Linked DNA regions of Anolis sagrei. The protein of the gene in region 2 purifies or fractionates together with the protein of the main gene of each other region. This does not show direct contact. Links are inferred from orthologs where the notes say so. Each region holds a gene or a part of one and is shown on either strand. Other genes may lie near its edges. The genes, in order: DHX38, PPP4C, CCDC6 and PPP2R5D.

Region 1 (6,991 bases), on a different chromosome or scaffold from region 2:
GACAGGCTGTAAAGAATTGTGGAAGTTGAAGTCCAAAACACCAGGAGGAAGGGCCGAAGTTGGCACAGGCCTGTTGTTGAATCTTGGGAGTTGGGAGACTTCAAAGCAAGAAAACATTATCTGAGTGTACCCAACAGATGTCCATCCTGCCAGCTCTATTTTAAAGCCTACAGAGAAGAAAATCAATAGAATGATAGAATCCTAGAATTCGGAAGAGGCCCGAGGTGCCATCCAGCCTGACTCCTTCTGTCACAAAGAAAGACAATCTAAGCACCCCTGACAGACAGCCATACTGCCATAGATGTGGTAAGATACGATTCCAAGAGACGGATAGATGAGCATGAGAGACAGATGTTATGGGTATATCGTAGAACAGGCCTGGAACAAGTTGGGTCCTCCCTGCATGCGATTTGGACTTCCACCATGTAGGAGCAGAGGAAACAGGCTTCGGAGCATTAGTGGAGTTTGGGGGAAATAGACATTGACATTTGGGAGTTGTAGTTGCTGGAATTTATAGTCTACCTACAATCAAATAGCATTTTGAACCCCACCAATGATAGAATTGGGCCAAACTTCCCACACAAACCCCCATAACCAACAGAAAATACTGGAGGGATTTGGGATGAATTTCAATAGTGATTTAGAGAAGATGTAGTTCACCTACATCCGTAGAGCACTATGAACCCAAACAACTATGCCAAAGGAATTCCTAAGACCATCAGAAATATGTGTTTTCTGATGGTCTTTGGTGACCCCTCTCAAACCCAAATGAAAAAGTATTCTGAACCCCACCAATGAAAGAATTGGGCCAAACTTCCCACACATAACCCCCATGAAAAATAGAAAATATTGTGTTTTCTGATTGTCTTTGGTGACACGTCTGACAACACCTCCCTCACGACCCCGCTCCCAGGGGGCTTGACGCCCAGGTTGAGAAATGCTGTTTTAAAGATTTCTTTTTAAACTTGCAGTTGAACATCAGGAAGAACTTCCTGACTGTAGGAGCTGTTCAACACTGGAACACTCTGCCTCAGAGACTGATGGAAGCTCCTTCTACAGTGGCTATTAAACAGAAGCTGGATGGTCATCTGTTGAGAGTGTTTTGATTGTGCTTTTCCTGCATGGCAGGGGGTTGGACTAGATGGCCCAAAAAAGGAAACACCATCAGAGCACCCCGACAGATGATTACCATGTAGATGTAGACCAGGTCTGGGCTGTTTGGGCCTTCCCTCCAGGTGTTTTGTTGGACTTCAACTCCCACAACTTCTAACAGCCTCTGGCCCTTTCCTTCTCCCCCTCAGCCGCTTAAGCAGCTGAGGGGGAAAAGGAAGGGGCCTGAGGCTGTTAGAAGTTGTGGGAGTTGAAGTCCAAAACACCTAAAGCTCAAACGCCTGAGGGGGAAAAATGACAGGGACCCAGGCTGTTAGAAATTGTGGGAGTTGAAGTCCAAAACACCTGAAGCTTAAGCGGCTGAGGGAGGAAATGAAAGGGCGTGAGGCTGTTAGAAATTGTGGGAGTTGAAGTCCAAAACACCTAAAGCTTAAACGCCTGAGGGGGAAAATGAAAGGGACCCAGGCTGTTAGGAATTGTGGGAGTTGAAGTCCAAAACACTCGAAGCTTAAGTGGCTGAGGGGGAAAAGGAAGGGGCCAGAGGCCGTTAGGAATGGTGGGAGTCCAAAACACCTAAAGCTTAAACGCCTGAAGGGGAAAATGAAAGGGACCCAGGCTGTTAGGAATTGTGGGAGTTGAAGTCCAAAACACCTGAAGCTTAAACGCCTGAAGGGGAAAAGGAAGGAGCCTGAGGCTGTTAGGAATTGTGGGAGTTGATGTCCAAAACACCTGAAGCTTGAGTGGCTGAGGGGGAAAAGGAAGGGGCTTGAGGCTGTTAGGAGTTGTGGGAGTTGAATCCCAAAACACCTGAAGCTTAAGCGGCTGAGTCTAAAGCTTAAACGCCTGAGGGGGGGAAATGAAAGGGACCCAGGCTGTTAGGAGTTGTGGGAGTTGAAGTCCAAAACATTTGAAGCTTAAACGCCTGAGAAGGAAAATGAAAGAGACCCAGGCTGTTAGGAATTGTGGGAGTTGAAGTCCAAAACACCTAAAGCTAGAAGCTAGAGCGGCTGAGGGGGAAAATGACAAGAGCCTTAGGCTGTTAGGAATGGTGGGAGTTGAAGTCCAAAACACTCGAAGCTTAAGTGGCTGAGGGAGGAAATGAAAGGGCCTGAGGCTGTTAGGAATGGTGGGAGTTAAAGTCCAAAACACCTGAAGCTAGAGCGGCTGAGGGGGAAAATGACAAGAACCTTAGGCTGTTAGGAATGGTGGGAGTTGAAGTCCAAAACACCTGAAGCTTGAGTGGCTGAGGGGGAAAAGGAAGGGGCCTGAGGCTGTTAGGGATGCTGGGAGTTGAAGTCCAAAACCCCTTAAGGGAAGGCCCAAGTGGGCCCAGACCTGGCCTAGATTAACAACATTCGCCTCAGACACTGATAGGAATACTCTGGATGGCATAGGGAAGGCCCAAGTTGGCCCAGGCCTGCTCTGGAAGTTCTCTCTCTTGTTCCTCCGAAGCCTGGCTCACCGCTCCCTCCGGGATCCTCTCCCCGCGCCGCCTCCGCCTCCGTCCCTCTCCTCCTCCTCCTCCGCCGCTTCCGCCTCTCCCTCTGGGCGCTGCTCCTGCTGTGGCTCCGAGGCCCAGTCTCCGTCGGAGGAGAGCCGGGCCCGCTTGGTGTTATTGGCGGCCTGCTCCTCCTTCTCGCGGCGCTTCTGGGCGGCCAGGAGGTCGAGGCCTAGCAGCGAGGCCCTCGGGGCCGGGACCTTGAAGACGTGCTGCTCCTCGGCCGCGCTCCTCCGCCTCGCCGCCGGCAGCACCAGCCCGCCCGCCTGCGCCCCCGGAGACAGGCCCTCCAGCCGGTGCAGCGACGCCTCCTCCGCCGCCTCCGCTTCGCCCATCTCCCCTCAAGACCGGGCCCGACGCTGGCCGGGCGCCGCCATTGCCCGACCCACAATGCCCCGCGACGGAAGGCGGGACTTCCGCCTCGGGGAGTGATTGCCAAGCCAGACCGGAAGAGAGAGTCCCTGCTGGGTTGTTGGAGGTTTTTCCAGGCTATAGGGCCATGTTCTAGAGGCATTCTCTCCTGACGTTTCGCCTGCATCTATGGCAAGCATCCTCAGAGTTGTGAGGTCTGTTGGAACTAGGAAAATGGGTTGATATATCTGTGGAATGACCAGGGTGGGGCAAAGGACTCTTGTCTGCTGGAGCTAGGTGTGAATGGGTTGTTGTAGGTTTTTCCGGGCTATAGGGCCATGTTCTAGGCATTCTCTCCTGACTCTGGTCTTGTCCCACTCTGGTCTTTCCACAGATATAGAAACCCATTTTCCTAGTTCCAACAGACCTCACAACCTCTGAGGATGCTTGCCATAGATGCAGACGAAATGTCAGGAGATAATGCCTCTAGAACATGGCCATATAGCCTGGAAAAACCTACAACAACCCATTCACACCTAACTCCAGCGGACAAGAGTCCTTTGTCCCACTTTGGTCTTTCCACAGATATAGAAACCTGCATCTATGGCAAACATCCTCAGACGTTGTGAGGTCTGTTGGAACTAGGAAAACGGGTTTACATATCTGTGGAAAGACCAAAGTGGGACAAAGGACTCTTGTCTGCTGGAGCTAGGTGTGAATGGGTTGTTGTAGGTTTTTCCGGGCTATATGGCCATGTTCTAGAGGCATTCTCTCCTGACGTTTCGCCTGCATCTATGGCAAGCATCCTCAGAGGTTGTGAGGTCTGTTGGAAGTAGGAAAGGGGTTTATATATCTGTGGAAAGACCAGGGTGGGGCAAAGAACTCTTGTCTGTTGGAGGTAGGTGTGAATGTTTCAACTTGCCACGTTGATTAGCATTTAATGGCCCTTGCAGCTTCAAAGCCTGGCTGGTTGCTGCCTAGAGGACTCCTTTGCTGGGAAGTGTTAGCCGTACCTGGTTGTAAATAACAGTGAGTAAAGAGCAACACTCAGAAAGCAAGGGAAATCCAGACAAGAATCAATCAGGGTATAGTACAATCTAGTAATCTAGAATACTAATATTGTGCTATGCTAATAATATATTATATGTACATATAATACATACAATCTCCCCATATTTTATGTAATATTAATATTATATGTACATACAATATATTGTTAGCATAGCACAATATTAGTATTCTAGATTACTAGATTACTCATTTATAATATTGTAACATAGTAATATTAATATATTAAATATAATGATTACTGATAGTATCTAATATATAATGATATACTGTTTTATTATTGTTTTTGTATTATTTACTAGCCATCCCCTGCCACGCATTGCTGTGGGCCACATGGGGGTTCTGTGTGGGAGGTTTGGCCCAATTCTATCGTTGGTGGGGTTCAAAATGCTCTGATTGTAGGTGAACTATAAATCCCAGCAACTATAACTCCCAAATGCCAAGATTTTATTTCCCCCCAAACTCCACCAGTGTTCACACACTGCCACTTTCAAAAAGCTGCGCCGTGAAGTGATAGTTGGCTCCGCCCCCGTTGCTATGGCAACTCAGCTCAAGCTACCAGCCACCATCTCTAACAAAATATAATCCTACATACTTACCATTTATTAACTACTGTTTAAACAACACATAACCATAAGAATAAAAGTTACACATCGTCACAACTATGCTAGCAATATAATATATTGTATGTATGTATGTATGTGTGTATGTATATATATATTGTAAGCCGCTCGGAGTCCCCTTCGGGGTGAGAAGGGCGGCATATAAATGTCATAAATAAATAAATGTATATTTGTATGTTTTAAGCTGTAATGTTTTTGGTTGTGAGGCACTTGTACCCTCTGTATGGAGAGATAAAGTGGGATATAAATAAATAAATAATAGATAATTATTGTGTGGGGATAAATCAGGCATGGGCCCTCCTTCAGGTGTTTTGGACTTCAACTCCCACGATTCCTAACAGCCTACCAAGTTGACACATGCGTGGGATAAAATCACGATGGCAGTAATGATGTGGGCTTATGCACTGAATGAAGGGAAGCCAGAGGTGTGTCATCTTCCTGCCCCTGTTTCTGAGCTCCAGAAACAATGCTTAGCAATGGGGTCCTTCAACCAACCATCACACCATGTTTGAACCAAGAGTCAAGCCCTTTATTGAAACGGTCACCAAACCGAATGGCCTGAAGGAGAGAGTCTGCCTTTGGGGACAAGGAAGCGCTGGCCTCTACATAGGATAGTGCCTTCCCTCCAAATATCGTGTCCCAAGGCTCCTGGGTGCAGCACAGCCCCACTGTCCCCACTGAGGCTGTCAAACAGGGAGAGGAGGCACTGACAGGGCTGAATGGATGGCTCCTCCTGAGCCTGACTGCCTCCATGCTGAAGAGACATAGATTCCTTTGCCCCTTGTGCTCCCCCCATGATCTCTGATCGACGATGCAAAGTCCAGTCTGCTTAGCTGAGTCAATCTTGTTCTGAGCTGTGAGCTTTGACTGTCAGATTGCAGGGCTCCCACTTGGGATAGGCTGCCAAAGGGGAGGATGTCTGTTTCTTCCACTGCACAGGTGCTTCCGCAGAATGGGGAGCAGCCAATCCACAAGCTTCAGAAGCCCCCACTGGGCATCTGGGACGAAAGGCCTCCCTGGGTCCACAGTAAGGTCTCAGCGAGGCTCCTCAGAGGCGGTGGTCCGCACCCACGGCCTCCTGGACACTCTGGAATCCCTGCTCCCTGGGGAAAGCAGGAGGAACAGGGGCTGAGCCAAAGCTGGCCTCCTCAGAAGAGACCTGGCCCTGCATTCCCTCCTCTTGAGAGGAAGTGGGAGGATTATTCATCCACAGAACATGCAGAAAAGGAGGAGGGGACGTCAGCAAAAAAGCCAAGGCAGAGAGCAAAGGACTAGCTAGAGGGGGAAGCAGGGATGGGAAGCCAGGAGAGCAAAGGGTCAAGGCAAAGCAGGGACAGAAATGGTTCTCTTCTCTGTGCTTCAACAGGGCCACTGGAGAGATCAAGGCCATAGAATTGGGGGGGGGGGGGGTTTGAACCTCTCCATAGCTCCCTGCCTACATCCCACTCCTGTTGCTGCTTTCTGTGATCCTCATGCCTTCTCCATGACTCCGTTCTCTCAGAAATATTAAAAATTAACTAGGTATTTTTAATTACACAAATGTAAGTCAAGCACTGAAAGGGTTAAATGGATGCATTGACTCAGGAAAAGCTGCTGTTCAATATAAGTAACTGTAGCTTAGTAGCACTCAGTCTGTGGGTTACAAAGTCGGGGATTCCATCTGAACATTAGGAAGAACTTCCTGATTGTGAAAGCCGTTCAGTAGTGGAATTCTCTGCCCCGGAGTGTGGTGGAGGCTCCTTCTTTGGAAGCTTTTAAACAGAGACTGGATGGCCATCTGTCGGGGGTGCTTTGAATGCAATTTTCCTGCTTCTTGGCAGGGGGTTGGCCTGGATGGCCCGTGAGGTCTCTTCCAACTCTATGATTCTATGTCTCTGTGGGAGAAGGGCCTCAGTGTGAGAAGGCCTCAGTGTGAGAGAGGCGTCAGTCTGAGAGAATCCTCAGTATGAGTAGGCTTCAGTGGAAGCAAGGCCTCAGTGTAAGGTAGGCCTCAGTTTGAGAAGGCCTGGTGTGAGAAGCTGCAGTGGAGAAGCCCCAAGTTGAAGGCCATTGTGTGTGAAAGATACTGTGCATAAAAAGCTATTGTGTGACGCTCCTATGTAAGTTTGGTGTGAAATCAAAGCTGTTTATCTGCATGAGAAAGAAGTCCAGCATGGAAGTAAAGAAGGAAGTGTAACGAACTTTATTTGTATTCTGGAACTTCGTTCTTGTAAATAGTGAAACTATATTAGTTTGCTATAAAGAAAAGCCTCTGTGAAAGGAATAACATTGGTCTTTGTGTTTTTGTTCTCGTAAACACTTTGGGCTACTGGTGCTGGGCCACACTGCTGCTAATAAGTTA
Region 2 (7,355 bases):
CTGATGAATCCCAGGTACTATAGGCTCTATTTCAGAGGAAGGAACTGGCCAAACCATCTCTGAGTACAGGCAGTCCCCAAGTTACAAACATCTGACTTACAAATGACTCCTAGTTAAGAATAGGGGAAACCACAGGAAATTAGTGAAATCTACACCTTGGAAGAGAAATTCACTTTTTTTCATGCCAGGAGCAACTTGAGAAGCTGCAAGTTGCTTCTGGTCGTCTGCAAGGATGTTTCCCCAGGGGATGCCCAGATGTTTGATGTTTTACCATCACGTGGGAGTTTTTTCTTGTTTCCCCGCATGAGAAGCTAGAGCTGAGACGGGTGCTCACTCCACTCCCTGGATTTGAACCGCTAACCTGTTGGTCAGCAGTCCTGCCAGCACAAGGATTTAACCCATTGCACCACCGGGGGGGGGGGGGGGGGAGTGTCTCCACCAAGGTTTCATCCCCAATTACTGTTTCCAGATGAAACCAAATTTTTCAAGACTGGAGTTATACCTAAAAATGGACTGAGAGAGACATCGTTAATTGATGATAATGTGTATTTAATTCTCTGTCAAAGTGATAATGCCTTACAACCCTATTTGGGGGTGTGTGACAGACCTTTTATGGGCCATGCATTCTGTCGCTATTGCTAGGCCCTCAATAAACAGCTTCCACGGTTGGTATTCAATTTGTGGTATGTCTTCCATTACATCATCCTCTTGAGCCCAGGGGACTCCTGACAATGTGCAGAGAGCAGGAGGAATTCCAGAGAGCCATTCCCCCTACAGTACCTGTTTCGAATTCTGGACCAGAGGCACTCCAAGTGGCCAGATACTGGTCAAAGGACACTTAATCAACTACCAAGCTTGCAAATTTTGTTTTGTGCCTGTTTGTTTGTTTGTTTTGTTCTGTTAGAAATGTAATACAATTATGATTGCCCCTGACACAATAAATAAATAAATAAACCTGTTTCGACTTACATACCAATTCAACTTAAGAACTGGAGCCCCTGGTGGCGCAATGAGTTAAACCCTTGTGCTGCCAGCACTGAAGACTGACAGATCGGAGGTCCGAATCTGAGGAGAGTGAGGATGAGTTCCCTCTGTCAGCTTCAGCTCCCTATGCAGGGACATGAGAGAAGCCTCTCACAAGGATGGTAAAACATCAAAACATCCGGGCGTCCCCTGAGCAACGTTCTTGCAGACGGCCAATTCTCTCACACCTGAAACAACTTGCAGTTTCTCAAGTCGCTCCTGACACACACAAAAAAACCCCAAAACTTAAGAACTAACCTATACAACCTATCTTGTTTGTAACTTAGGGGCTGCCTGTATTCCTTGAGTAAGAATGCATCTACACTGTGGCATTCACTCAGCTTGTTAACACTTTAACTGCCAAGGCTCAATGCTATGGAATCCTATTTTAAGAAGAAAAAGAAGAAGACAAAGAAGAAGAAGGAGAAGAAGAACTTTATTTTTCTAACCCGCCTCCATCTCCCTGAAGGGACTCGGGGCGGCTTACATGGGGTCCAAGCCCAAAGCAGAATACAATTAAAAACAAAGCAAAAAACAATTACGAGAGCATAAACAGTGTAAAACAACATAATAATAGCTAGCAACAACAATAACAGCAGACTAATTTTGGAGAGGGGGAGGAAAACCACTACGTGAACTAGTTAAAGCATAAGTGGTTTAGTAAGGTGGATAACGACATAGGAAACATCATGGAAACAGAGTAAATTAACAGGATCAGTTAATATACTATAGGACATCAAATTGAATGACAATTCAAGTCATGATACAGGTCATTTATCATAGGTGTCGTCAATCGAAAGCACGACAAAACATACACATCTTTCATTCCTTACAGAATGTGGCTAGGGAGGGTGCCAGCCTAATCTCCCTGGGGAGGGAGTTCCAGAGATGGGGGGCCAGAGGCCACCACCGAGAATGCCATCGTCCAGTCGTTCCATATTTGCCTGTTTCGCTGCATTCGCGAAAGCTTGCCCAAAGAGCCAAGTTTTGACTTTTTCCCCTGAAATCTCAGGAAGAACATAAGCAGATACTATATTTTTGCCTTAGGGCCCTTCTACACAGCCCTATATCCCAGCATATCAAGGCAGAAAATCCACAATATCTGCTTTGAACCGGGTTATCTGAGTCCACACTGCCATATATTCCAGTTCAAAACAGATGTGGGATTTTCTGCCTTGATCTTCTGGGATATAGGGCTGTGTGGAAGGGTCCTTCGAGATGGTACGATTTGGTCTCCACTTTCCTGCCCTGTAACCTGGCAACTTTAATGTATGTAGCCCAGGCGTGGGCCAGCTTAAGTGGCTGAGGGGAAAAAGGAAAGGGCCTGAGGCTTTTAGGAATGGTGGGAGTTGGAGTCCAAAACACCTGAAGGGCCCAAGTTGGCCCATGCCTATTGTAGGCCTGTGTGAGGAGATTTTGCTTTTCATAATTGCAATTGTTGTGGCCCATAAGAAAAGGAAGGGGCCTGAGGCTTTTAGGAATGGTGGGAGTTGGAGTCCAAAACACCTCGAGGGTCCAAGTTGGCCCATGCCTATTGTAGGCCTGTGTGAGGATTTTTTGCTTTTCATAATTGCAATTGTTGTGGCCCATAAGAAAAGGAAGGGGCCTGAGGCTTTTAGGAATGGTGGGAGTTGGAGTCCAAAACACCCCGAGGACCCAAGTTGGCCCATGCCTACTTATTTATTTATTTATCATGTCATCAGCAACCATACCATTGTATTACATTTCTAACAGAAAAAAACAAACAAACAGATTTAAAAAGCACACATTTTGCAAACTTGGTAGTTGATTAAATGTCCTTTGACCAGTATCTGGCCACTTGGAGTGCCTCTGGTGTTGCTGCAAGAAAGTCCTCCATTGTGCATGTGGAAGGGCTCAGGCTGCACTGAAGCAGGTGGTCTGTGGTTTGCTCTTCTCCGCACTTGAATGTCGTGGATTCAGCTTTGTAGCCCCATTTCTTAAGATTGGCTCTGCATCTCGTGGTTCCAGAGCGCAGTCTGTTCAATGCCTTCCAAGTCGCCCAGTCTTCTGTGTGCCCAGGAGGGAGTCTCTCATCTGGTATCACCCATGGATTGAGGTGCTGGGTTTGAGCCTGCCACTTTTGGACTCTCGCTTGCTGAGGTAGACCTACTGTAGACCTGTGTGAGGAGTTTTTGCTTTTCATAATTGCAATTGTTGTGGCCCATAAGAAAAGGAAGGGGCCTGAGGCTTTTAGGAATGGTGGGAGCTGGAGTCCAAAACACCTCGAGGGTCCAAGTTAGCCCATGCCTATTGTAGGCCTGTGTGAGGAGTTTTTGCTTTTCATAATTGCAATTGTTGTGGCCCATAAGAAAAGGAAGGGGCCTGAGGCTGTAGGGAATGGTGGGAGTTGGAGTCCAAAACACCTCGAGGGCCCAAGTTGTCCCATGCCTATTGTAGGCCTGTGTGAGGAGTATTTGCTTTTCATAATTGCAATTGTTGTGGCCCATAAGAAAAGGAAGGGGCCTGAGGCTTTTAGGAATGGTGGGAGTTGGAGTCCAAAACACCTCGAGGGTCCAAGTTGGCCCATGCCTATATTAGGCCTGTGTGAGGATTTTTTGCTTTTCATAATTGCAATTGTTGTGGCCCATAAGAAAAGGAAGGGGCCTGAGGCTGTAGGGAATGGTGGGAGTTGGAGTCCAAAACACCTCGAGGGCCCAAGTTGTCCCATGCCTATTGTAGGCCTGTGTGAGGAGTATTTGCTTTTCATAATTGCAATTGTTGTGGCCCATAAGAAATGGAAGGGGCCTGAGGCTTTTAGGAATGGTGGGAGTTGGAGTCCAAAACACCTCGAGGGTCCAAGTTGGCCCATGCCTATATTAGGCCTGTGTGAGGAGTTTTTGCTTTTCATAATTGCAATTGTTGTGGACCATAAGAAAAGGAAGGGGCCTGAGGCTTTTAGGAATGGTGGGAGTTGGAGTCCAAAACACCTCGAGGGCCCAAGTTTGACCATACCCGCTATAAAAGGAAAAGGCCTGAGGCTGTTAGGAATTGTGGGAGTTGTAGTCCAAAAGACCTGGAGGAGTGGTGTCAATGACACCTAAAAAAATCCCTCTGGCATTCATATGGGCGCCTATAATCCTGTACATGAAACATCATGGAGGGAAGAGCTGGAATGACAAGGAAGCGTCGAGAAAGAGAGAGAAAAAAAGCTAAACCGGAAGTAGGCCCGGGAGACATTTTGAGCGACACATGGAGAGGCCGCCCTTGCGTCACTTCCGGAGCCTCCTCCGCTCCTTTTAAATCCCCACCCCTGCCTTGAATTAAGAAGAGAACTGAGAAAATGATGTCACTTCCGGGGGAATCAGGGGAAAGTCAGTCGGCCTCCATCCACAGCTGGGCCTCAGTCGAAGGAGGAAGCGGAAGTGACGCCCTGTGTTCTGTAGTTAGTGAGAGCCGGAAAGACAGAGGCAGAGAGAGAGAGAAAGGGAGAGGAGAGGGGGAAGGGCCGGGCCCGGAGCCGGAGGGAGCCGCGGAGCAGCCATCACCGCCTCTGCCGGGACCCCAAGTGAGTGGCGAGGCTCCTTCTGCGCATGCGCCTCGCTTCCCCCTTGGTGTTGAGGGGCGGGGGAGGCGGGTTGCCATAGAGACCGGGGTTCGAAGGAGGAGGGGTCAGGGGCCTTGGGAGGAGGAGGGGAAAGGCCTCCCCTCGGGTACTGTCTCGAAGACCTGGAAGAAGCCCCCCATCTGCCATGCAGGGGCACATCATCAAAGCACCCCCGACAGATGGCCAGCCCGCCTCAGGTTAAAAACCTCCAGAAAAGGACACTCCACCATCTTCCCAGGCAGCATAGAATGCTTAGTTTGTTTTCTTTAGGGCCAACTTGGGCCCTCCAGGTGTTTTGGACTCCAACTCCCGCCATTCCTAACAGCCTCAGGCCCCTTCCTGGGGGAAAAGGAAGGGGCCTGAGGCTGTTAGGAATGGTGGGAGTTGGAGTCCAAAACACCTGGAGGGCCCAAGTTGGCCCATGCTTGGGTTAGACTATTGAGGAGGAGAATTAGGATTGGGTTGGACTGTCTTTCCTCTGTTTCCTTCTTCATTCTGGTAGAAGTCCATCTGTGTGGTTCTCAACCTGTGGGTCCCCGGATGTTTTGGCCTTCAACTCCCAGAAATCCTAATAGCTGGGAATTCTGGGAGTTGTAGGCCAAAACACCTGGAGACCCACAGGTTGAGAACCACTGTGTTATTGGTTGCCAACTCCCAGAAATCCTAACAGCTGGGAATTCTGGGAGTTGTAGGCCAAAACACCTGGGGACCCACAGGTTGAGAACCACTGTGTTATTGGTTCATGGATTCTTGGATGGAATGGGGAATGTGAGAGCCTTCAGATGCTCATGGATTGCAGCTCACATTACTCTTACCTCATAACAACAATGATATACGTTTTACTTATCTCTCTTACTTACCTCTTTTACTTATCTCGTTACTTATCTCTCTTCAAAGCAGGGCACTGTTAAAATTTATAGATAAAGACATAAGACCATGAATACTATAAAAGGCATACGATTAGTCAGGGGTGAAGGGGAGGTCACAGTCTGATAGAATATGGAAGGCCCAATATTCATATAAAAGGATTGATTGATTTGTCGAAGGCTTTCATGGCTGGAATCACTCAGTTCTTGTGGGTTTTTTCGGGCTATATGGCCATGTCCTAGAGGCATTTCTCCTGACGTTTCGCCTGCATCTATGGCAAGCATCCTCAGAGATGACCTCACCAGGCAAAACGTCAGGAGAAATGCCTCTAGAACATGGCCATATAGCCCGAAAAAACCCACAAGAACTGATTGATTGATTGTTTGCCTGTTTTAATATTTCTTCCATTTCTTTACAGCAGGAATGAGCCAGGTTTGGCCCTCCAGGTGTTTTGGACTTCAACTCCCACAATTCCTCACTGCAAGTAGATATATAAACCCAATTTTCCTAGTTCCAGCAGACCTCACTACCTCCGAGGATGCTTGCCATAGATGCAGGCGAAACGCCAGGAGAGAATGCCTCTAGAACAGTGGTTCTCAACCTGTGGGTCCCCAGATGTTTTGGCCTTCACCTCCCAGAAATCCTAACAGCTGGTAAACTGGCTGGGATTTCTGGGAGTTGGAGGCTGAAACACCTGGGGACCCAAAGGTTGAGAACCACTCCTCTAGAACATGGCCATATAGCCTGAAAAAATCTACAACAACCCAGCAAGTAGACTGTTAGGAATTGTGGGAGTTGAAGTCCAAAACATCTGGAGGGCCCAAGTTGGCCCATGCCTGCTTTACAACAATTAGATAATACTGGAAACAGGACCTATGCCTGGGGTTCTTATCATTTAGGGTTTATCCTCCAGGGGATTATTTGGAGATGTCTTTAGTTTTATCTTATGCGCATCATAGATGTACAGTTGAGTCTCGCTTATCCAACCTTTGCTAATCCAATGTTCTGTATTATCCAACACAATCGGCCTCCCACCCGGATCCACAGATGTTTCAATACATTGTGATGTTTTGGTGCTAAATTCATAAATACAGGAATTACTACAAAACTTTACTGTGTATTGAACTGCTTTTTCTGTTGATTTGTTGTAAAGCATGATGTTTTGGTGCTTCATTTGTAAATAATAGGCTTTTCCTTAATCCCTCCTTATTATCCAACATTTTTGCGTATCCAACGTTCTGTCAGCCCGTTTATGTTGGATAAGCAAGACTCTACTGTATGTCCTCGTTTTATTCATTGTCAAGGCCTTTAGTATACTGATATGGAAACTTTTTATAAAATGTGGCCGAGGAATGTTTTTAAAAAGGAATTGCATCCATTCTTCTCCTACAGGGGGAAAGATGGCCGAAATCAGTGACCTTGACCGTCAGATTGAACAACTACGGCGCTGTGAACTCATTAAAGAGAGTGAAGTCAAAGCCCTCTGTGCCAAAGCCAGGTGAGTAGTTGGCGACATTTTTAAAAAACTCTTATTTATTATTTATGGCCTCTCTGGCCTCCAGGACATCTCTGTTCTGGAGCTGGGAAATGTATAATTAGTTAAGTATAATGTATCTTTTCTCCCCAACAGAGAGATTTTGGTGGAAGAAAGCAATGTCCAGAGAGTAGATTCCCCAGTAACAGTAAGTAAAAATGCTCATGGGATGTTCAGTGGTACTTTGGGGCTGGGCTGCTGGTGGAGGCTCCTTCTTTGGAGGCTTTTAAACAGAAGCTGGATGACCATCTGCCGGGGGTGTTTTGAATGTAATTTTCCTGCTTCTTGGCAGGGGGTTGGACTGGATGTCTCATGAGGTCTCTTCCAACTCAATGATTCTATGATAGTATAATCATGCAAACTCTT
Region 3 (6,842 bases), on a different chromosome or scaffold from region 2:
CTACTTGAGGCAAGTGTGAATGCTGCAATTAGCCAGCTTTTTTTGTCATGTCAGGAATGACTTGAGAAACTGCAAGTCGCTTCTGGTGTGAGAGAATTGGCTGCCTGCAAGGATGTTGCCCAGGAAATGCTCGGATGTTTTGTTGTCTTATCATCCTTGTGGGAGGCTTCTCTCATGTCCCCGCATGAGGAGCTGGAGCTGATAAAGGGAGCTCATCTGTGTTCTCCCTGGATTTGAACCTGCAATCTGTCGGCCTTCAGTGCTGCCAGTACAGGGGTTTAACCCACTGCCCCACCGGGGGCTTCATTGGCCAGCTTGATTAGCATTGAATGGCCTTGCCACTGCAAAGCCTGGCTGCTTCCTGCCTGGGGGACCCTTTGTTGGGAGATATTAGCTGGCCCTGATTGATTCTTGCCTGGAATTCCCCTGTTGCTCTTAGGATCAGATCCTGAGATATAGGGCCTGTCTGGAAGTGTTATGGCAGCATTTCTCAACCTAGGGGTCATCAGAGGGGTCACCAAAGACTGCCAGAAAACACTGTTTTCTGTTGGTCATGGGGGTTCTGTGTGGGAAGTTGGGCCCAATTCTATTGTTGGTGGGGTTCAGAATGCTCTTTGATTATAGGTGAACTATAAATCCCAGCAACTACAACTCCCAAATGTCAAGGTCTGTTTTTCCCAAACTGCACCTGTGTTCACACTAGGGAATATTGAGTATCTGTGCCAACTTTGGTCCAGATCCTTGTTTGAGTCCACAGTACTCTCTGGATGTAGGTGAACTACAACTCCAAATCTCAAGATCAATGCCCACCAAACCCTTCCCATATTTTCTGTTGGTTATGGAGTTCTGTGTACCAAGTTTGGTTTGATTTCATCGTTGGTCGAGTTCAGAATGCTCTTTGATTGCAGGTGAACTATAAATCCCAGCAACTACAACTCCCAAATGACAAAATCAATTTTTTTTGAGTGAAGGACATACGTTAGGTTGTTAGGTGTCGAAATTTGGTGTCAATTCTTCCAGTGGTTTTTGAGTTCTGTTAATCCCACAAACAAACATTACCTTTTTATTTATATAGATTGCTCTTAGGATCAGATCCTGGGATATAGGGCCTGTCTGGAAGTGTTATGGGCAAGCAGTTGTTTCTTTCTAGGGCTGCAGAATTAATGCAGTCTGACAAACACACACACACAATGAACTGCCATGAATCTACAAACTACAAGAGAGGAGATTCCATCTGAACATGAGAACTTCCTGACTGTGAGAGCCGTTCAGCTTCCAAAGAAGGAGCCTCCACCACACTCCGGGGCAGAGAGTTCCACTGCTGAACGGCTCTCACAGTCAGGAAGTTCTTCCTCGTGTTCAGATGGAATCTCCTCTCTTGTAGTTTGTAGATTCATGGCAGTTCATTGTGTGTGTGTGTTTGTCAGACTGCATTGATTCTGCTGCCCTAGAAATAAACAACAGCTTGCCCATAACACTTCCAGACAGGCCCTATATCCCAGGATCTGATCCTAAGAGCAATCTATATAAATAAAAATGTAATGTATTGTCGAAGGCTTTCATGGCTGGAATCTCTAGGTTCTTGTGGGGTTTTTTTTTCGGGCTATAGGGCCATGTTCTGGAGGCATTTCTCCTGACGTTTTGCCTGCATCTATGGCAAGCATCCTCAGAGGTAGTGAGGTCTGTTGGAATTAGGACAATGGGTTTATATATCTGTGGAATGGCTGGGGTGGGGCAAGGAGCTCTTCCCTGCTGGAGCTAGGTGTGAATGTTTCAACTGATCACCTTCATTAGCATTTGAAGGCCTGGCTGAGCCTGGGAAAATCCCCTGTTGAGAGGTGTTAAGATGTAATGTAATGTTTGTTTGTGGGATTAACAGAACTCAAAAACCACTGGACGAATTGACACTAAATTTGGACACCTAACAACCTAATGTATGTCCTTCACTCAAAAAATTTGATTTTGTCATTTGGGAGTTGTAGTTGCTGGGATGTATAGTTCACCTACAATCAAAGAACATTCTGATCCCCACCAAAGATGGAATTGAACCAAACTTGGCACACAGTTCTCCCATGACCAACAGAAAATACTGGAAGGGTTTGGTGGGGTGAGAGCCGTTCAGCAGTGGAACTCTCTGCCCCGGAGAGTGGTGGAGGCTCCTTCTTTGGAAGCTTTTAAACAGAGGCTGGATGGCCATCTGTCAGGGGTGATTTGAATGCAATATTCCTGCTTCTTGGCAGGGGGTTGGACTGGATGGCCCAGGAGGTCTCTTCCAACTCTACGGTTCTATGATTCTATGAATCTTGGGGGGAGGTGTTTGGGTCAAGGCCTTGCAAAACTACAGCTCCCAGGATTCCAGAGCCACGGCAGGAAGAGCAAAAGGTTTCACCTGAGGAGAGGCCCCTCCCTCCCCAGCTCCGTTTCCCTGGCAACCGCGCCCCTCCCTCCCCTGCCCCCCCCCCCGCACTCACGATGGTGACGCTGGCCTTGCGGAGGTCGCGGTTCTCCTCCTGGAGCGCCTTGCACTTGAGCTTGTAGGTCTCCAGCTCGATCTTGAGCACCTTGTTCTCCTGCTGCAAGGAGGCCAGCCGGTTGGTCAGCTCCTCCAGGCGGAAGGGAGAGATCACGATGCCGCCCGCCTTGGGGGGGCCCGCCGAGGACGAGGTCGCCGCCGAGGAAGAGGAGGAGGAGGACGGCGAGGAGGACGGGCAGCCCGGCGGCGCCGCCCCGCCCGGAGCCCCCACGCCGCCCCCGCCGTCCGTGTCGCTCTCGCTGGCGCTGTCGGCCATCCTGGAGGGAGCGCGGGGCCGCTCCGAGAGCGCCTTGGGCTCGGCCTCGCCTCCGCCTGCCTCTTTCCCTCGCCTCGCCTCGCCGCTCCGCGGGCTGCAGCCAGGGCCGGAGGAGGAGCTCGCCGCTGAGGAGAAGGAGGAGGAGAACCACCACTGCGCATGCTCCCGGCGCCTTGGGAAGCCGCGCGCGCTCGGCGCCGAGAAGCCAAGGCCGGCGCCGCCTCGCGCCCGCCTCGCGCCCTACCCACAGCGCCGCCACCCGCCAATGGTGGCACTGCAGCACCAGCTCCGCCAAAAGGAGACCTCAGACATCACCACCACCCAGGCCTGTAGCGAGGGGATGGTTTTAGGGGTTCAACCCCCCCCCCCGAAATGTTTCAATTTTTTTTTAAAAAAACCTGCTTTACTCATGAATTTTAACTGGTTAACCAAATCCCCATGCTAAGTCTATGAAATGCAAAAAATTAAGAGTCCCTCCAGAACTGTAAGCACTATCTCAAGCAAATATTGACAATTTATTCACACTGTCATTACTTGCAGCAATAGCCGATGTAGTGAAGCAACCAAGTTGGGGTGTGTGTGTGTGTTGAATGCTCTCATTAAGGAGGCCAGACTTGGTGGAGGTGGTTGACAGGGGTGGAGCAGGCTATTGAAGGTTGCTCTGCCCTCTGCTGGAGTCTTCCTTGTAGGATCTTGAGCATTACCTTACTGGCATGAGAAATAAGGGCCACTGTACGGAAGTTTGAGCAGTCTTTCGCATTTCCCTTTTTTGGTATGGGGATATAAGTTGATTTTTTCCAGTCTGATGGCCATTCTTGTGTTTTCCATATTTGCTGGCAAATGGCATGCATCACCTTGACAGCATCATCTTTTAAGATTTTAAACAGTTCAGCTGGGATCCCATCATCTCCTGCTGCCTTGTTGTTAGCAATGCTTCTTAAGGCCCATTCAACCTCACTCCTCAGGATGTCTGGTTCTAATTCATTCACCACACCGTCAAAGCTATCCTCGATATTGTTATCCTTCCTATACAGATCTTCTGTATAGTCTCGCCACCTTCTCTTGATCTCTTCAGCTTCTGTTAGGTCCCTGCCATCTTTGTTTCTTATCATATCAATTTTTGCCTGAAATTTACCTCCAATGTTTCTAATTTTCTGGAAGAGGTCTCTTGTCCTTCCTATTCTGTTGTCTTCTTCCACTTCCATGCATTGCTTATTTAAAAATAGTTCCTTATCTCTTCTGGCTAACCTCTGGAATTGCGCATTTAACTGGGCATATCTCCCCTTTTCACTGTTTCCTTTTGCTTTCCTCCTTTCTTGGGCTACTACCAGTGTCTCAGCAGACAACCATTTTGCCTTCTTGGTTGGTTTACATGGAGCGAGAGTTGCCAGATGTTCAAGCTGGGTTTAGAAAAGGCAGAGGAACGAGAGACCAGATTGCCAATATCCGCTGGATAATGGAGAAAGGCAGGGAGTTTCAGAAAAACATCTACTTCTGCTTCATTGACTATTCTAAAGCCTTTGACTGTGTGGATCATAATAAATTGTGGCAAGTTCTTGGTGGGATGGGCATACCAAGCCACCTTGTCTCTCTCCTGAGGAATCTGTACAAGGACCAAGTAGCAACAGTCAGAACTGACCACGGAACAACAGACTGGTTCAAGATTGGGAAAGGCGTACGGCAAGGCTGCATCCTCTCACCCAACCTTTTTAACTTGTATGCAGAGCACATCATGCGATGTGCGGGGCTGGATGAATGCAAAGCTGGGGTGAAAATTGCTGGAAGAAACATTAACAATCTCAGATATGCAGATGACACCACTCTGATGGCCGAAAGCGAGGAGGAGCTGAGGAGTCTTCTAATCAAGGTGAAAGAAGAAAGCGCAAAAGCCGGGTTGCAGCTAAATGTCAAAAAAACCAAGATTATGGCAACAAGAATGATTGACAACTGGAAAATAGAGGGAGAAACCGTGGAGGCCGTGACAGACTTTGTATTTCTAGGTGCAAAGATTACTGCAGATGCAGACTGTAGCCAGGAAATCAGAAGACGCTTACTTCTTGGGAGGAGAGCAATGTCCAGTCTTGATAAAATAGTGAAGAGTAGAGACATCAGACTGGCAACAAAGTTCCGCCTAGTCAAAGCCATGGTATTCCCTGTAGTAACCTACGGATGTGAGAGCTGGACCTTAGGGAAGGCTGAGCGAAGGAAGATCGATGCTTTTGAGCTGTGGTGTTGGAGGAAAGTTCTGAGAGTGCCTTGGACTGCGAGAAGATCCAACCAGTCCATCCTCCAGGAAATAAAGCCCGACTGCTCACTGGGGGGAAAGATACTGGAGACAAAGTTGAAGTACTTTGGCCACATCATGAGGAGACAGGAAAGCCTAGAGAAGACAATTATGCTGGGGAAAGTGGAAGGCAAAAGGAAGAGGGGCCGACCAAGGGCAAGATGGATGGATGGCATCCTTGAAGTGACTGGACTGACCTTGAGGGAGCTGGGGGTGGTAACGGCCGACAGGGAGCTCTGGCGTAGGCTGGTCCATGAGGTCACGAAGAGTCGGAGACGACTGAACGAATGAACAACAACAACAACTGCCCTCTGCTGTGCTCTTTGCTTCAGCGTGAGCTAGGAGGCAGGTTTCAACCCCCCCCCCCCCCCATTTTCAACCCTCCCCAAAATTTTCAACCCCCCCCCCCCCCGAAATTGTCAACCCACCCCAAAAAATTTTTCTGGCTACGGCCCTGCCACCACCACCATCATTGAGTATTCTTGCAGATGGCGGAAACAGATGGCGGAACATCTACACCAGGCATCCTCAAACTGCAGCCCTCCAGCTTGTTCAGTGGTCAGGAATTCTGGGAGTTGGAGGCCCAAACAGCTGGAGGTCCGCAGTTTGAGGCTGCCTGATCTACCCAAATGACCAGCCACTGCCAGAAGGGACAGAGAGTTTCATCTATGCTGATGATCGTGCCATCACCACTCAAGCAGGGAGCTTTGAGATGGTAGCTTTCCAAAGCTCTAGGTCAGGGATCCCCAAACTAAGGCCCTCATTTAGGTCATTTACCAGGCCCTCGCTCAGGGTCAACCTAAGTCTGAAACGACTTGAAACCACACAATAAACGGTTCTGGCCCAGCCTACCTATCCGGACACATCTCTTCCTACGAACCCTCCAGGAAGTTAAGATCATCTGCTCTCGATCCCGTCTGCTTTGCAAGCACGCTTGGCGGGGACGAGAGACAGGGCCTTCTCTGTGGTGGCCCCTCAGCTGTGGAACTCCCTGCCTAGGGATATTAGATCAGCCCCCTCCCTCCTGACCTTTCGTAAGAGAGTGAAAACCTGGCTCTTCGAGCAGGCATTCGGAACCCCGGAATAGTCAAGCTTGAGATGGAGAATGACCCAGGAACGGCCAAGACGATGAAACGGATGAGGATTGGAATGAGAGGATATAGCTCTTTTTACACTGTTATTGCACGTGTAATAGTGTAATGTTTTTGTCATTGCTTATGTTTTAATTTTTGCTTTGTATTGTATTATTGTTTGCTGTTGTTGTGTTGAGGCCTTGGCCTTTGTAAGCCGCATTGAGTCCTTCGGGAAATGCTAGCGGGGTACAAATAAAGTTTAATAATAATAATAATTGTTGAAAATATATTAGGGTCATCAAATCATGCAGTTGGGAGAGACCACATGCACAATCAAAGCACCCCCGACAGATAACCACCCAGCCTCTGTTTACAAACCTCCAAGGAAGGCGCTACCACCACACCCTGAGGCAGGGAGTTCCACTGTGGAACAACTCAGGATCAGGAAGTTCTTAAAAAAATATTTTATTAGGGTTTTGTTTAAAGAAATGAAAAAGAAAATAGATATTGTAACACTGAAAGTGGGAGAACAATTTATTTGGGTTGTAGGTTTTTCCGGGCTATATGGCCATGTTTTAGAGGCATTTTCTCCTGACGTTTTGCTTGCATCTATGGCAAGCATCCTCAGAGGTAGTGAGGTCTGTTGGAAGTAGGAAAATGGGTTTATATATCTGTGGAAAGACCAGGGTGAGACAA
Region 4 (7,572 bases), on a different chromosome or scaffold from region 2:
GACTCTCCAGAGACAAATGAAAGCAGCCACTGAGCAGCAGCAGGAGAACTGTATAAGCTACAAACCCCTCTAAAAGGTTCAGGAGAAAGAAATCAAAGAGACTATCGTGACCATTTATATATCAGCTGCATCCACACTGCAGAATTATAGCAGCTTGAAATCACATTAACTGCTATGGCTTCATGAAATGGAATTCTGGAATGTGTAGTTTTGTGAGATATTTATCCTTCTCGGTCAGATAATTTTGGTGACACAACAAACTACAAATCCCAGGATTCCATACGATGGAGCCTTGGCAGTGGAAGTGTCAAACTACTATAATTCTGCAGTGCACATGGTCTCATACTCAATTGTAATACACCTGTTGCATACCCTACCTGTAGTAAAGATGTAGTATTATATTTAGCATTGATACAGAATGCTGTAGTATTCCTTTCACTACAAGCTGAAGAAAAGAACAAATATTCTGATCTTTTGTGCTCTGCAGATATAGATAAGAGATATTAACAATTACTTGAGTTTCAGCAGCAACGGGGGTGGAATCTAACACCTTGCTATTCATGCGCAGACTATGAAAGAAAGTCTGCAAAATGCTACTCCTCTGTGTCACAATCAATTATCTCAGTATGTCTCTTTTAAACCATGCCCCATTCCTTGAATTTATTTGCCACTAAAACTGCATGCCACTTGGTCCTTTAGTAACTAGCATATAAACAAACTATTGGACCAGACTGCTCTTTTATGTTCCTTTAACTTTCCACAGGTTTTTGCTCTCACTCTACTTAATTATATCTCCCATGAGATGCAAACAATTCATAATAATTCAGTATGATTCCCATATATCCAGGACTGCAACCTGTGGTTTCATTTACCAATCTCTAACAAAATATGTCCTTTCCAAGATTCTCGAGGTGGTGCACTGGAAGTTGACCAAAGTTATGCTAGAGAACTGAGCAATGCCTAAATTTGACCTTTCTGACCATTTTCTAGGTCCTCTAGCATACTTCTGCTATAAGTTATATATAAAGTTGTTTATTATTATTATTATTATTATTATTATTATTATTATTATTATTATCTCCAGCTCATTCCTTGTTTAGGTATCAGCCAGCACATCAACGACTTAAATAAAGAAATATTTTTCTAAGATCTACAGAGACACTTGCTGGAACACCCCAACAAGTGAGAGTCCAAAAGTGGCAGGCTCAAACCCAGAACCTCAATCAATGGCTGATACCAAATGAGGGACTCCCCCCTGGGCACACAAAAAACTGGCCAACTTGGAAGGCGCTGAACAGACTGTGTTCTGGCACCACAAAATGGGTTTCCCAGTTGGGAAAATTCTTGTCTGCTGGAGCTAGGTGTGAATGTTTCACCTGACCACCTTGATTAGCATTTGATGGCCTGGCAGTGCCTGGGGCAATCTTTTGTTGAGAAGTGATTAGATGCCCTTGATTGTTTCCTCTCTGTTGTTTTGCTGTTGTAATTTTAATTGTTTTAATTTGATTAGCATCAAATGCTAATCAAGGTGGTCAGTTGAAACATTCATACCTAGCTCCAACAGACAAGAGTTCTTTGTCCCACCCTGGTCATTCCACAGATATATAAACCCATTTTCCTAGTTTCAACAACCTCACTACCTCTGAGGATGCTTGCCATAGATGCAGGCGAAATGTCAGGAGAGAATGCCTCTAGAACATGGCCATATAGCCCGATAAAACCTACAACAACCCAGTGATTCTGGCCATGAAAGCCTCCGACAATAAACTCTGAATTGCTACCATAATTAGGTTGTGATCTTAACAGTTTATGATCTATATACGCCAATGGACAGCAATCCTGACAGGTCATGATCTATTGTCCTCCATAAATACAGGGATTCCAAAATCTAAAATACTTCTGGTCCTAAGCACTTCAGGTAAGAAATACTCAACCTAAACTATAGCAGTGGCAGGGAATCAAGTGCCTGGAAGATCTTATAAGCATGGAGTATTTCTGCATATCCACTACTTCATTAGAGACTTCTGAAATATATTCTAGGAGGTCCCAATACAACTCTCTACCCTCCAGTTACCCACCCCTCATTATAAATTTGTTATTGAGTTCAGTTGCTAACTCTAAAAATCCTGAAATTTATTTATTTGTTTATTTATTATTAGGAGCATCTCTATCCCGTCCTTCTCACTTCCAAAGAGGGACTCAGGACGGCTACCAACAGGCACCATTCAGTGCCAAACAATAAAAACAAAGCATAATATACATTTAGCATACATTAAAACAATTATAAATGCATTAAGACATGCCACAAATCCTCTCATCTTTTAGACTACTGGTTGGATCTGTATACTCACAGACGTGCACACACTTGTTGTTTTAAGAAGAAACAAATGCATCAACAATACACATTTGCTTCCAGGCAAGCTAACTAAGCACTTTCACGGTGCAATCCTACATACACGTCTACTCAATACGCAACAGTTGCTGCTCCCAACCCCACCCTGAAAAAAATTATGTTCAAAAACAGACACTTCCTGCTAATCAGTTTTAATTTAACTCAATGTTAACCGGTATATAATGCACAACATATAATCCTTTGCAGAATAAGTATCCTACCTCTTCTGAATTTTCTGTGCTGCCATCTTTCCCGGTCCCACTGCTGCCACTACCACTGCTGCTGCTGCTGCTGCTGCTACTAGCTTTTGTAGTGCTTTTGGTCGATTTTGGAGGGTCCTGGAGGATGAAACGAAAGAGAAACACAAAGAAGAGAAAGAGCATTTACAGATGAGTTGCTCCATTAAGGACTTATTACGGTTCACGTCCAAATGAGACAAATATTGTGAAACTGGAATTCCAGTGACCACAAAAAACGACATTTCCCCCAGGAACAACTTCGATAGCATACCATGCTCCACAAGTGGCTGCCCGAGAGGGATGTTCTTCCCAGGACAAGAGAAAGGTCTCTGTACAGAAACACACTGAGCATCCTCTAAGCAGCGCCCCTGGCCTGATCCATTCTCTTTCCCTTCTGAAAAGGCATCTGACTTCTTAAGCCCACCCCTTCCCTCCCACTGAATGGGGGAAACCACCCCTTTAACTGCAAAGGAATACAACCCTTTGAAGAGCTCTCCAGCCTCTGCTAACTGCTCCTTGGAAGGAAAAGGACTTATGTGTCAAACCAAGGACATGCTGGGAAGGAAGGAAGCTATTATTTAGGCAATGTAGATCCAGAGAAAGGTCAGGGAATAAACTAAGGAAGCTGCGACGTATCACCTGTAGTGAGCAGCTAAAAAGCCAATGGGATTTTTTAGCTGCTCAGATAGGAATATAGTGATCAGTGCTTCTCAACCTGCGGGTCCCAGATGTTTTGGCTTACAACTCCCAGAAATCCCAGTTTACCAGCTGTTAGGATTTCTGGGAGTTGAAGGCCAAAACATCTGGGGACCCACAAGTTGAGAACCACTGGTCTAGATCAAGGAAAGTCATGGTGCCCCTCTATTCAGCTTTGGTTAGATCTCACCTAGAATAGTGGCTTCTCAACCTGTGAGTCCCCAGGTATTTTGGCTTACAACTCCCAGAAATCCCAGTTTACCAGCTGTTAGGATTTCTGGGAGTTGAAGGCCAAAAACATCCGGGGACCCCAGGTTGAGAACCACTGGTCTAGATTAAGAGAAATCATGGTGCCCCTCTATTCAGCTTTAGTTAGACCTCACCTAGAAGAGTGTGTCCAGTTCTGGGCAACACAGTTTTAAAGAGATATCAACAAACTGGAAGGTGTCCAGAAGAGGGCAACTAAAATGATCAAAGATCTGGAGCATCTTGAACTGGGTATGTTTAGCATGCAGAAGAGAAGGTTGAGAGGAGACATGATAACCATGTATAAATATGTGAAAGGGAGTCATAAGGAAGAGAGAGCACAATTGTTTTCTGTTGCCCTTGAGACTAGGACTCTGAGCAATGGGTTCAAATTATAGGAAAAGATATTCCACCTGAACATTAGGAAGAACATATTGACTGCACAAGCTGTTCAATAGTAGAACTCTCTGCCTTGGAGTGTAGTGGAAGCTCCTTCCTTGGAAACTTTTAAACAGAGGCTGGATAGTCATCTGTCAGGGATACTCTGTGATTTCCTGCATGGTAGGAGATTGGACTAGATGGCCTCTGTCAGTGGTTCTCAACCCGTGGGTCCCCAGATGTTTGGCCTCCAACTCCCAGAAATCCAAACAGCTGGTATATTGGCTGGGATTTCTGGGAGTTGTAGGACTAAACACCTGGGGATCCACAGGTTGAGAACCCCTGGCCTATGTGGTCTCTTCCAACTCTATTACTCTACCTGTGAGTAGAAGAGACAGTCCATGAGAGGACAAAGCAAAGTCCTGGAAGGCTGAAGTTAAGTCAGGCAGGTTTAGCCACAAAAGGGTAGGAATTTCAAGGTGAGGGAGGTTCCTATCTAGCCTATAAAAAGTAGCAGAATTCTTTACTCTACCTTTCCCAACTGGGATGCATCTATATTGTAGAATTATTGCAGTTTGCCATGGTTCAATGCTACAGCAATCATGGGATTCGTAAAGCTAAACCTCCCATTATCCTACAGCATTGAGCCATGGCAGTTAAAGTGTGTCAAACTGCTTTAATTCTACAGTGTAGATGCACCTTCAGGGACCTCTTCTGGGTATTATCATAACTCTTATTTATCCCACATCTAACATATCTGAATGGAAGTTGGCGAAGAATGAATGAAAAGGAAACTAAACCCTGAAATCTACTTCAAAGATCACTTCCTCGTGGTAAGTTACTTATGATCTGCTAGCAAGCTAACTAGTTTGAATCCCATGACACACTTGGGTGACCATGAATCAGAAAAAAATTAAGGATTTGATGGGACTTATCCTTAGGTCAGTTTGTAAGTCAAGGCGAAATGAACTCTAACACCACTTTAGTAAATACACCTGACAACTTCTGAGGATGCCTGCCACAGATGTGGGCAAAATGTCAGGAGAGAATACTTCTGGAACATGGTCAAACAGCCCAGAAAACTCACAGCAACACAGTAAGCAATGTTATCCATACTTTGCAGGAAATCGTAGGGCCCGTGTAATGTTATATCCTGGAAATATGGGACTATTACACTCTAATATTCACCTATAGTTGTTTATTCATAATGATAATGCATGTGGTGCCATGGATTCGCACAGGCAATCAAGTGCAACCCTGTTCATACATGCTCCTATGTTTCATAACACATCTCCCCATATACAAAAGTAAAACATAGGGAGATCCCTTACAACAACTCAGACCTTGATCCATCTAGTTTAGCAGTGTCTACTAAAACCTGGAAGAAGCTGCCAGTCAGTCTAGACTCTCCAGGGTTTTCAGCAGGCTTATTTCCAGCCTCATCTGACAAAATCAAATATACCACATTCTTCATTTGGAAGCATGTATTCCACCACTACTAGAAATGTTACATTCATGGCATTAGCATTCAGCATGCAAATTAAGCCCAAACAAATTCCTTTCTCTGTGTGTGTGTATATATATGTATATGTATATATTTCAATGTGCAGTACTAAGTATGAGAGCTAGTGTGAGGTAGAGGCCCGAGCATTGGAGCATAACTTGTTGTTCGACGATGGAAACCCACTGGGTGACCTTGGGCAAGTCACAATCTCTCAGTCTCAGAAGACAAAGAAAACAGTTTGACAAGCTCCCATTAGGATTGCCATACGTTGGAGAGAACTTGAAGGCCCACAATCACTTTTTGCATTATATTCTATTACACAAATATTATCATTGCATTTATTTAGATCAGTAGTTCTCAACCTGTGGGTCCCCAGGTATTTTGGCCTCCAACTCTCAGAAATACCAATCAGTTTACCAGCTTTTAGGATTTCTGGGAGTTGAAGGTCGAACCATCTGGGGACCCACAGGTTGAGAACCACTGGTTTAGATCCTCCTTTTGCCCCAGCCACGGGTCTTAAATAACAGCACATGTGGACATGTGCATTATTCTTAGGATATCTTTTGTGCTTATTCACAACTTCAGTACCTACACTCTGTGTACATCCTGCATATAGTAGCTCTGAATTTCATCTGTGAGACTCTCTATATGTTGTTACCCCTCCAACTATTTTGATTTCCCACTTTTTCAGCTCCTTTACAAACATACTGCCTTTCTTCACCTTTTCCTACTCTGTCCCCCTTTCTCCTCAGTTTACTTCAAAGTTGGGTCATGTGATTTTAATTTATGTTTTAATGCTATGATTTAATGGGTTTGGTTTTAATGTTTTTGTTTATTTACCAATATATTAATATATGGCATTGGATTGTTGCCTTTGTAAGGCCGCCATGAGTCCACTTCGAGATTGAGAAGAGCAGGATATAAATGTGGTAGATAAATAAATAAAGGTTGCAAACTCAGACCCCATCTACACTGCCATATTTGCCAATGGAGACCCCACCTACACTGCCATATAATGCAGATTGAAACTTCATTACATGTTAGTGAAGACTCATATTGCTCTGAGATCAGAATGAAGAAAGGGACCAGAAAGGTAGTTCCATCTTGTCTCCTGCACTGTGCTTATAGTATAATATAATTCAATATAATATAAAATATTGTACATAATGTAGATATTATAATGTAATACAATATACTACTACTAATAAAATGATATTATAATTATATTTTATATTAAATGTAATACTATTAATATTACAGTAGTACAATGTAATATATAATATTAATATTGTGGTATGATAATAATAATATATTGTATTTAATTTTTGCTTGTAAGCTGCTCTGAGTTCCCTTCGGGGTGAGAAGGGTAGCATATAAATGCCATAAATAAATAAATAAATAAATAAATAAATAAATATTGGATTGCATGAGACTACACAGCAGGGAGGGATGCAATCTTGCCCTTCCCACTACTGCAGTGGTTCCCAAATTGTGATCTGTGGACCACCAGTGGTCTGCAAGAATGAAAATATGGTCCGTGGCCTCACCATTACTACAGCGTTGCCTCAAAACCACACGGCAATGAGAACGATTGGTCTCACTAAACCATCTTATAGAGCTGAGGCAATAGGGATGTCGGGAAGCTAGAGCTGATGTGGTCTATCCAATGCAATTTTCTTAACAGTATTATATGAGTCTACACAGCAGGGAGGGATGCAATCCTGCCCCTCCCACTAGAGCAGTGGTTCCCAACCTGTGGTTCGTGGATCACCAGTGGTCCAAAAGACCTAAAGTATTGTCCGTGGCCTCACCATTGCCTCAAAACCACGCAGCAATGAGAGCGACTGCTCTCGCAAAACCCTCTTATAGTGCCGAGTCAACGGGGATGTTGGGAGGGGAGAGGCTGACTATACACAAAAGATTATTACTACCACATTGGCTATGGATTATTAAATATGGTTTTCTATGGGCAAGCAGATGGCGACTACTGCATCGCATATGTTCTGATCAGAAAATAGAGCTGATGTAGTCTATCCAATGCAATTTTCTGAATCAGCACCCCAAATAACCAAACCAAAACTAAAGTTCAAAAACCGATAAAAAGCTATAAAATCCCC

The links.
Region 1: the proteins of PPP4C (region 2) and DHX38 purify together in Homo sapiens (affinity purification with mass spectrometry; 5 studies listed by BioGRID and IntAct, with this or other methods). This does not show direct contact. The link is inferred for Anolis sagrei from reciprocal best matches to the Homo sapiens genes PPP4C and DHX38.
Region 3: the proteins of PPP4C (region 2) and CCDC6 purify together in Homo sapiens (affinity purification with mass spectrometry; 7 studies listed by BioGRID and IntAct, counting the BioPlex papers as one, with this or other methods). This does not show direct contact. The link is inferred for Anolis sagrei from reciprocal best matches to the Homo sapiens genes PPP4C and CCDC6.
Region 4: the proteins of PPP4C (region 2) and PPP2R5D purify together in Homo sapiens (affinity purification with mass spectrometry; 7 studies listed by BioGRID and IntAct, with this or other methods). This does not show direct contact. The link is inferred for Anolis sagrei from reciprocal best matches to the Homo sapiens genes PPP4C and PPP2R5D.

The regions. Positions count from the first base shown.
Region 1 is NC_090028.1:29,488,350-29,495,340, forward strand, and holds the start of DHX38 (pre-mRNA-splicing factor ATP-dependent RNA helicase PRP16), read right to left. Parts: upstream 3,020-6,991; 5' UTR 2,944-3,019; coding exon 2,573-2,943; intron 1-2,572. Other genes in the region: DHODH (dihydroorotate dehydrogenase (quinone), mitochondrial), read right to left, coding at 5,699-5,753. UniProt on the Homo sapiens protein: Probable ATP-binding RNA helicase. Involved in pre-mRNA splicing as component of the spliceosome.
Region 2 is NC_090026.1:17,473,011-17,480,365, forward strand, and holds the start of PPP4C (serine/threonine-protein phosphatase 4 catalytic subunit), read left to right. Parts: upstream 1-4,341; 5' UTR 4,342-4,549; intron 4,550-6,847; 5' UTR 6,848-6,855; coding exon 6,856-6,953; intron 6,954-7,085; coding exon 7,086-7,137; intron 7,138-7,355. UniProt on the Homo sapiens protein: Protein phosphatase that is involved in many processes such as microtubule organization at centrosomes, maturation of spliceosomal snRNPs, apoptosis, DNA repair, tumor necrosis factor (TNF)-alpha signaling, activation of c-Jun N-terminal kinase MAPK8, regulation of histone acetylation, DNA damage checkpoint signaling, NF-kappa-B activation and cell migration.
Region 3 is NC_090023.1:164,695,874-164,702,715, forward strand, and holds the start of CCDC6 (coiled-coil domain-containing protein 6), read right to left. Parts: upstream 3,017-6,842; 5' UTR 2,790-3,016; coding exon 2,472-2,789; intron 1-2,471.
Region 4 is NC_090021.1:24,508,762-24,516,333, reverse strand, and holds the start of PPP2R5D (serine/threonine-protein phosphatase 2A 56 kDa regulatory subunit delta isoform), read right to left. Parts: upstream 3,011-7,572; 5' UTR 2,984-3,010; coding exon 2,903-2,983; intron 2,731-2,902; coding exon 2,614-2,730; intron 1-2,613. UniProt on the Homo sapiens protein: The B regulatory subunit might modulate substrate selectivity and catalytic activity, and might also direct the localization of the catalytic enzyme to a particular subcellular compartment.